Daphnia pulex: one gene and its partner. The protein of the gene in region 1 interacts with the protein of each later gene in a biochemical or structural test. Links are inferred from orthologs where the notes say so. Each region holds a gene or a part of one and is shown in the gene's direction. Other genes may lie near its edges. The genes, in order: peroxisomal targeting signal 1 receptor-like and peroxisome assembly protein 12-like.

The links.
Region 2: the proteins of peroxisomal targeting signal 1 receptor-like (region 1) and peroxisome assembly protein 12-like form a complex in vitro, tested with the Homo sapiens proteins (2 studies listed by BioGRID). The link is inferred for Daphnia pulex from reciprocal best matches to the Homo sapiens genes PEX5 and PEX12.

The regions. Positions count from the first base shown.
Region 1 is NC_060028.1:9,644,747-9,648,346, reverse strand, and holds the start of peroxisomal targeting signal 1 receptor-like, read left to right. Parts: upstream 1-905; 5' UTR 906-1,087; intron 1,088-1,150; 5' UTR 1,151-1,208; coding exon 1,209-1,352; intron 1,353-1,430; coding exon 1,431-1,862; intron 1,863-1,921; coding exon 1,922-2,141; intron 2,142-2,206; coding exon 2,207-2,355; intron 2,356-2,412; coding exon 2,413-2,569; intron 2,570-2,633; coding exon 2,634-2,788; intron 2,789-2,847; coding exon 2,848-2,945; intron 2,946-3,016; coding exon 3,017-3,143; intron 3,144-3,213; coding exon 3,214-3,255; intron 3,256-3,333; coding exon 3,334-3,370; intron 3,371-3,439; coding exon 3,440-3,560; intron 3,561-3,600. Other genes in the region: NSFL1 cofactor p47-like, read right to left, coding at 38-144, 204-383, 448-560, 624-725.
Region 2 is NC_060025.1:2,868,893-2,872,246, reverse strand, and holds peroxisome assembly protein 12-like, read left to right. Parts: upstream 1-1,247; 5' UTR 1,248-1,403; coding exon 1,404-1,529; intron 1,530-1,588; coding exon 1,589-1,697; intron 1,698-1,782; coding exon 1,783-2,326; intron 2,327-2,387; coding exon 2,388-2,505; 3' UTR 2,506-2,611; downstream 2,612-3,354. UniProt on the Homo sapiens protein: Component of a retrotranslocation channel required for peroxisome organization by mediating export of the PEX5 receptor from peroxisomes to the cytosol, thereby promoting PEX5 recycling.

The DNA.
Region 1 (3,600 bases):
TGTCATGGTGCTGTTATTTCATGGCAAAGATAACTACCTTGTGTATCCTCTTCACTCTGCCCTAGACGATATCCAGTTCCTTTAAATGTTTGATTACCCTTGGTTGAGGTTGAGGCCCCCTTTTCCAAAACTTCTGCTCCATGCCTAGGATCCAGAAAATGTTAATACATTTTTCTTGTAATAATCTCAAAGAGTAAACCCACTCTCTGGCTGATTTGAACATGTCTCCAATGAGATCTCCAGAAGGCTTTCCCTTGTTACGTGGTGGACCAATGACTTGCTGACCACTTCTCTCAGAGCCTCCAACATAAAAAGCTTGGCCCTCTTCATCCGAATCAGAAGAACTATTCATTTCTACAAGTTTATGGACAGCAGCAGCACCTCTATAATTAAATTTTCAAAATTTGGTCTGCACTACAGTATGTGAAAAATCATATTAACTAATACCTTGATGGGGGTTCTGGAAGTTGGTTTGAAGGAACTTCAACAGGTTCATCTTCTCCATCTCCAGCTTGCCTGTCCATAGCTCCATCATTTTCAAAGAAGCTGGCAAGGGCTGTCTGAGAATCAAAGTGATTTATTTATTGAATGCTCATAACTGTTCTTAATCTGTCTTAGTATACTTCTAATTGCCAACCGGATGACTCTAGGTAAAAACGAGCCCTTTGTTCATCAATCCCAGTTACTTCCCGGAAATTGGCAACTAATTCGTCGTTCGCTGACATGTTCAAACTAAATGTATTGAGTAATTACAATAGACAGGCAAAACTAGGCAGAATTTCAAGACTAAAATATTTTCACCAAACGAAGGACAGAGCTGACGACTCGTCGGATCGGGATTTCGAACAAAAGTCGTAATGTTTTTCATGACCGACAGAGCCATCTATACCACCATGGCCTTTATTCACTAGGTGGCTTTTGTTGTTTGTTGTACGAAATTGGTGTGGATGTGACTTTGCAGAGTGATAGAAGTTACAGTGATAAGACATACACACGATATCTTAACAACTTGCTTTCATAAGTTATATTGATGAATAGTATTGGGAAATTATTACCGAACCATTCTTGAGCTAGACCCTCTTTTTAGGTAACACATGATTTCTAATGACACATGTGTAACAGAAACTAATATATTGTTTTGTATTTTTAGGTAGCTATACATTCAGGAAGAAGTTTGGAGACCTTGAGCTCGGACATCAGTACCTAGAATGGCGTTTCGAGAATTAGTTGATGGAAATTGTGGTGGAAGGAATCCTATGCTTAAAGTAGCATCACATTTTACCAGAGATCAAGGATTTCGTCAGGATGTACCTGTTTCACATAGACACCCTGAACCGAGACCAGAAGATGTTGTAAGTTGATTCCTGACTCACTGTCTAAAGAAAAAGCATTCTCTCACAAATCTTTTTTTTATCTCAACTATTTTCTAGATGGTCAGAGAATTTTTGGAGGGTATTCCACCTCCATCTCAAGTAGGATCAAGAGGTGCCTTTAACATGGATAGCCTTTTACGTGAGATGAGGGATCTGGAAAAGCCACAAGGAATTGCTAGACCTCCTATTCAACCAGGACCAAATGTAGCCCATTATGCATTTGATGACAAAAACTGGGCTGAAGATTTTTTGAGGAAAGAACCTCATGTGATACCAGAAGATTTACCTTCTGCTAGTGGATGGAGTCAGGAGTTTCTGGACAGTCCTGGCTATATGGGAGTTGTAGATGATTATGCAGAGTGGGACAACCATTGGGATAGCTTAACCTCTCATATAGAAAAACCGGGATTTTCTGCTCCTGGCGCATTAGCCCAAACTGCCGGAGAAATTATTGACAGAATGAAAGATCCAAAATTTGCTCAATCTGAGGTAATATTTTATGCGCATGATCCCTTTCCTGACCAAAGTTTCTGAAAAAAAGCTTTCAGTTTTTGCAGTTTATGCACAAGGTCAATCAAGGGGAGGAGGATTTGACCTCGGAACCTCGGACTACTACCGCTCATAGTAATTCAAACTGGGCGGAGGAGTTTTCTGGCTCAGAGGGTGTAACAAGACAGCCAGAATCCAGTGCAGATCAAGACTGGGCTGCTGAATTCACAACTAATCGTCAACCTGATTCGGCCGACGAATGGACAAAAGAATTCAGCGGTAGTGTTATATATTTTAAGTAGCTAATCAACTTCATCCTTGTAATTTTTTTTGCATATATAAAGACGGTGCCAGCGCTGAAGTGTTTAGGGGCGGAAATCCAGCTCAAGATGACTTCTGGTCACAACTTCAACAAGACTGGGAAAAAGCAGCCGACGACAACCCTGCAAGCTACGGATGGCTTAAGGAAACGCAACAAGATCCGTTAAGTGAAGTAATAATGCGCATGGTATTTACTAGTTCCTTGATTCTCACTTCTGTTGGTTTTTAGTACACATTTGAGGCAGAGAATCCGTACCAAGACAACGCGGATCCTTACAATACAGGTCTCCAAAAAAGATTAGAAGGTGATCTTCCAAGTGCCATTTTGCTGTTTGAGGCAGCTCTAAAAAAAGATCCTGAACATGTGAAAGCTTGGGAAGTTCTTGGTAAAAATATCTAATTATTTATATGCCAGGATTCTGTGTAAAGTTAGCTTGTTTTTTATTTTAGGGTTGACTCTTGCCGAAAACGAACAAGATCCAGGGGCAATTACCGCATACAAGCGTTGCTTAGCATTGGAACCAACAAATCTTGTTGCCATGATGGGTCTGGCTGTAAGTTACACAAATGAATCTTACCAGTTGCAAGCTTGCCAAGCCCTGGAGGTAATTGTTTTCCAATTAGTGTAAGGCATACAACATTAAAGGTGGTTTTATATTATTAGGACTGGTTGCGGAACAATCCCAAGTACGGACACTTGACCTCTCCTTCATCAGCCAGGGTTAACGAACGGGAGAGAACATTTACAAGCCTAGTTTCTGGGTACAGGAAATATTTTCTAATTTGTTGTGATATTACGGCGCAAACTTACCCGAGTTTTAAATTCTACCTAGGGATACTTTTAACCGAGTTCAGGATATGTACTTAACAGCAGCTCGATTACAACCTTCCCAAGACTTAGATCCCGATGTGCAAACTGGCTTAGGCGTACTTCTCAATCTCTCTGGGGATTTTGATAAAGTATGATGCATTTATGAAATTATTCGATTTTCTTGATTTTTTCAATTGGCTGCATTGCTTCAATTTTTAGGCTCCCGATTGTTTCAGGGCTGCTCTTCAGATGAAACCTAATGTAAGTTGTGGTGATTTATTATTTGCATGTACTTTTTTCAAGTTTATGATTTTATTTATTGTTAATTCCTATTTTCAGGATTCTTTGCTTTGGAATCGGCTCGGAGCAACTTTAGGTGACTAGCTTTTCTTACATAGAATAGTCTTACATAAGAACGTATGCATGATTTACGTGTTATTTGTAGCCAATGGAGGGAAATCTGAAGAGGCCATTGAGTCATATTACAAAGCTCTAGAGCTGTCGCCTGGTTTCATTCGCGCGCGTTATAACTTGGCAGTTTCCTGTATCAACCTAGGTGCTCACAGGTAATAAAGATTAACATTTTCTTTCTCCAATCCTGTTTAG
Region 2 (3,354 bases), on another chromosome or scaffold:
CTAGCCGCACGACTTTTCCCTCTACTTACACGAACCAAATGGAAAAACCTCTATCGAAAGTTTTTTCTTTTTTACGATTGGTTTGCCTGACATTTTGCCTACCAGAATGGTGTTGACAGAAAACGAGTTGTCGCCGTTCCCCACCAGACGACACTAGCGTAATAGGGAAGCCGCGAGAGGAAAAGTGGTGCACGCCTTGTGTGATATATTGCACTTGTGCAGTCAGACATGGGTTGGTTCGTCCCACAGCCCGACGCCAACGACATCTAGGCCCGGAATATCTTGATTAACTGAACGCCATCTTGGGAAAGAAACCTAAAACAATAACGTTAAACAGGGGCGTCCCTAAACTGCGAAAGCGAAACGCGAAACGCGAAACGCCTAAAATGCGGAAAAGCTGTGCGAAACGGACCAAAATTTTGGGACCGTTTCGCGGGACCAAATGCCGGAGGGCATACTAAAGAGCGAAACATCTTGCGAAACAAAAAGTTTTCCTTTTCATCACAGAGGTCCAAATTGACGGAGATTGCCGCCATTTTTCATTGTCTCCCGCTATGATGAGGCATTAAAGGAGGAAGGGGGGCAATCAAATTCGATTTCTTCGCCACTACCCCTGTATGTTTTCATGCGCATTTTACGATTATTAAACTAATGAAAGACATAGAGCAGCACGTTATGGTGATATTTTTAAATAATAAAATATTAGGTAATGGCCCAGGGATTATACATTACATTAAATAATTTAAATCAACCAGTAGGTACGTGCACAAAGAAAGAATCGGCCATAACAGTATGAGTGCCTTATATCAAGCTAAAAATCAAAGCTACCATGTTCCAAATCAAGCTAAAATTCAATCAGCTAAAACTTTCCTTAAAATTAAGAATGTTAATCTGATTGATACTGATACATGGAAACGAGAAGTTCCATTAATTTTTTTTATACCAATCTTCTAATTAAAAACACCTATTGCATATTGCATTCAAGGTATTTCGTATTCATGGTCAACACACAAATAGACCAGCGGACCAGCCATAAGGTGCGCGAAACTCGAAGTCTCGAAAATTTGAAACTCTTAACAAATTGTTTGTTGACGGCGTCCATTGTCGTCTGCTACCAAGACGTTTACACTGCGACGTTTCGCACACACCGATTTCGCAGTTTAGTACGGACCCAAAGACTAAAATGCGAAACAGGGTCCCAAAATTTTGGTCCGTTTCGCACAGCTGTTTCGCATTTTAGGCGTTTCGCGTTTCGCGTTTCGCTTTCGCAGTTTAGGGACGCCCTTAAACAGTGCTGTATTTTTGTTTGACACAAAAAAAGCAAGACAAATTCATGTAATAAAAACAACATTATGCCGTTTTCTTTTGAATAAGCAAGGTTTTTAAATTTGAGTACTTACGTTATGGCTGAAAGAGGGGCGCATTTAAGTCAGTTACTTCTAGATTCTAGTAGGCCATCGATTTTTGAGTTAGTTGCTCAGGAAGGACTTAATCAAGCCCTTCGTGGGACCATAAAGTTCGTCTTCAGGGTACGTTTGTAACACATTCAATTGAAATAAAAGAACTACCAACTCTATATCAATTGTAGGTGTGTGCTAATCATTATCCAGAAACATTTGGTTTATCATTTCGCTGGGCAAATGAAATTCAGTTACTATTTGATTGTTTTCTGCAAAACTATTACCTACGAAACTATGGTTTGTTGATAATTTTTCTTCAACTTATTTACATTTTTGAAATACGTCTTTGTGATTTACAGAAATGTTGTGCTTTTTTTTTCAGGAGCTTCATTTGCTGAAAATTTTTATGGATTAGAACGAGTCACAAAAGAAGACTGCACTTTGAATGGGAAAGGAACACTTCACTCTCTAATCAGTTTGACAATTCTGCCATATGCCTTGTCCAAATTAGATGCCTACTTTTCAGAAAGGCAGCAGCACAACCAGCAACATCCTGTTCTCAACTTTTCGAGTATCCGGTTCATCTATGATTTGACAGTCTTAGTGAACTGGATGCTCTATACATGGGGCAAATCTGTGACCCATTCACCTATTTTGCACCTTCTTGGATTGAAGTTAAAACATGGTGGTGACAACAGTAGCCCTGGCATTTCACTCACTAAAATAATTGAACTGAGTGCCTTCTTCATCCAATTTCTTGAGTGGTGGTTTACTAATCAGTCATCACAGGCTAAGAGTATGCTTTCCTTACCCATTCCACCTCCTCCACATTCCATTGTACAGAATCAACACTCCAAACCAAGGACTGGTGTTTGTCCCCTTTGTCAACAGCAATGGAAAAATGAGTGCGTTCTTCGCGTATCAGGGTAACTTAAATCATTAAGAAATACTTCGAACTGTAATTATATCTCACCATTTTTTTCACAGTTATGTTTACTGCTATCGCTGTATTTTGCCCTACCTAAAAGAGAATAACAAATGCCCCATCTCCAAGCTTCCAGCATCCCCAAATGACCTGATACGTATATTTGCCAACGCCGAGTAAACAACGTCCCAAAGATTTGCAGATTTCGATCCTGTGGAACAAATTGCACAATATTGATGTTAACTTACTTTCAAACAGATACATATAAATACAAGATTGAAATACATCTAGAAACATAATTAAATAAGTACGAACGAATTCCATCGCATCATTTATTAGACTGGTATCTCCATCGAAATCTTTTAAATATATGGGGAAGCGTTTCTCACATTTTACTCAAACACAAGCAAATGAAACAATACTCAAACAAATGTAACCGACGGATAGCTGGGCGTCTTTTGAGACCTCGAGGACATAACACAAACGGAAAAAAGGTAATAATAAAAATAAATAAATACATAATACGACGTCTCTTGCTATGTCCTTTTTCCCTTCTTTCACTATTCCATAAATGTATGCTTTTTTAATTTTGTTTTTTTAAAGGTGAGGTCGCGGTTTTATTAATTTATTCACTCTCAAAGTACGAGATGATGACCATCGGGATGTGGAATGTTCACCGTATTTTTGTTTTCATCGAGCTTTTTCATGAAACGCGGAGTAAATTTTAAAGACGGCCAAACCGAAACAATCGAGTGGAAAGCGCAAGTTTCCTTTCATATAAAAAGTATAAGGTGGGAGGGAGGAGGGAGACGAGGAGGGAGTGAGGACTGGAACAAGAGTGCAGGAGACGGTCGCCATGGATCCCCACTCGCTGACTACATTACACGATTCACGATTGGATAATAAGAGGAAAGCAAGAGTGGGATCATCAAACAACACTATTGCACGTGATAGAATGATAAAAAAAGAGGATGAAGAGCAGTGTTGATAGTAAAGTAAAAGAATCAGAAAAACAAGAGAGAAAGAAAT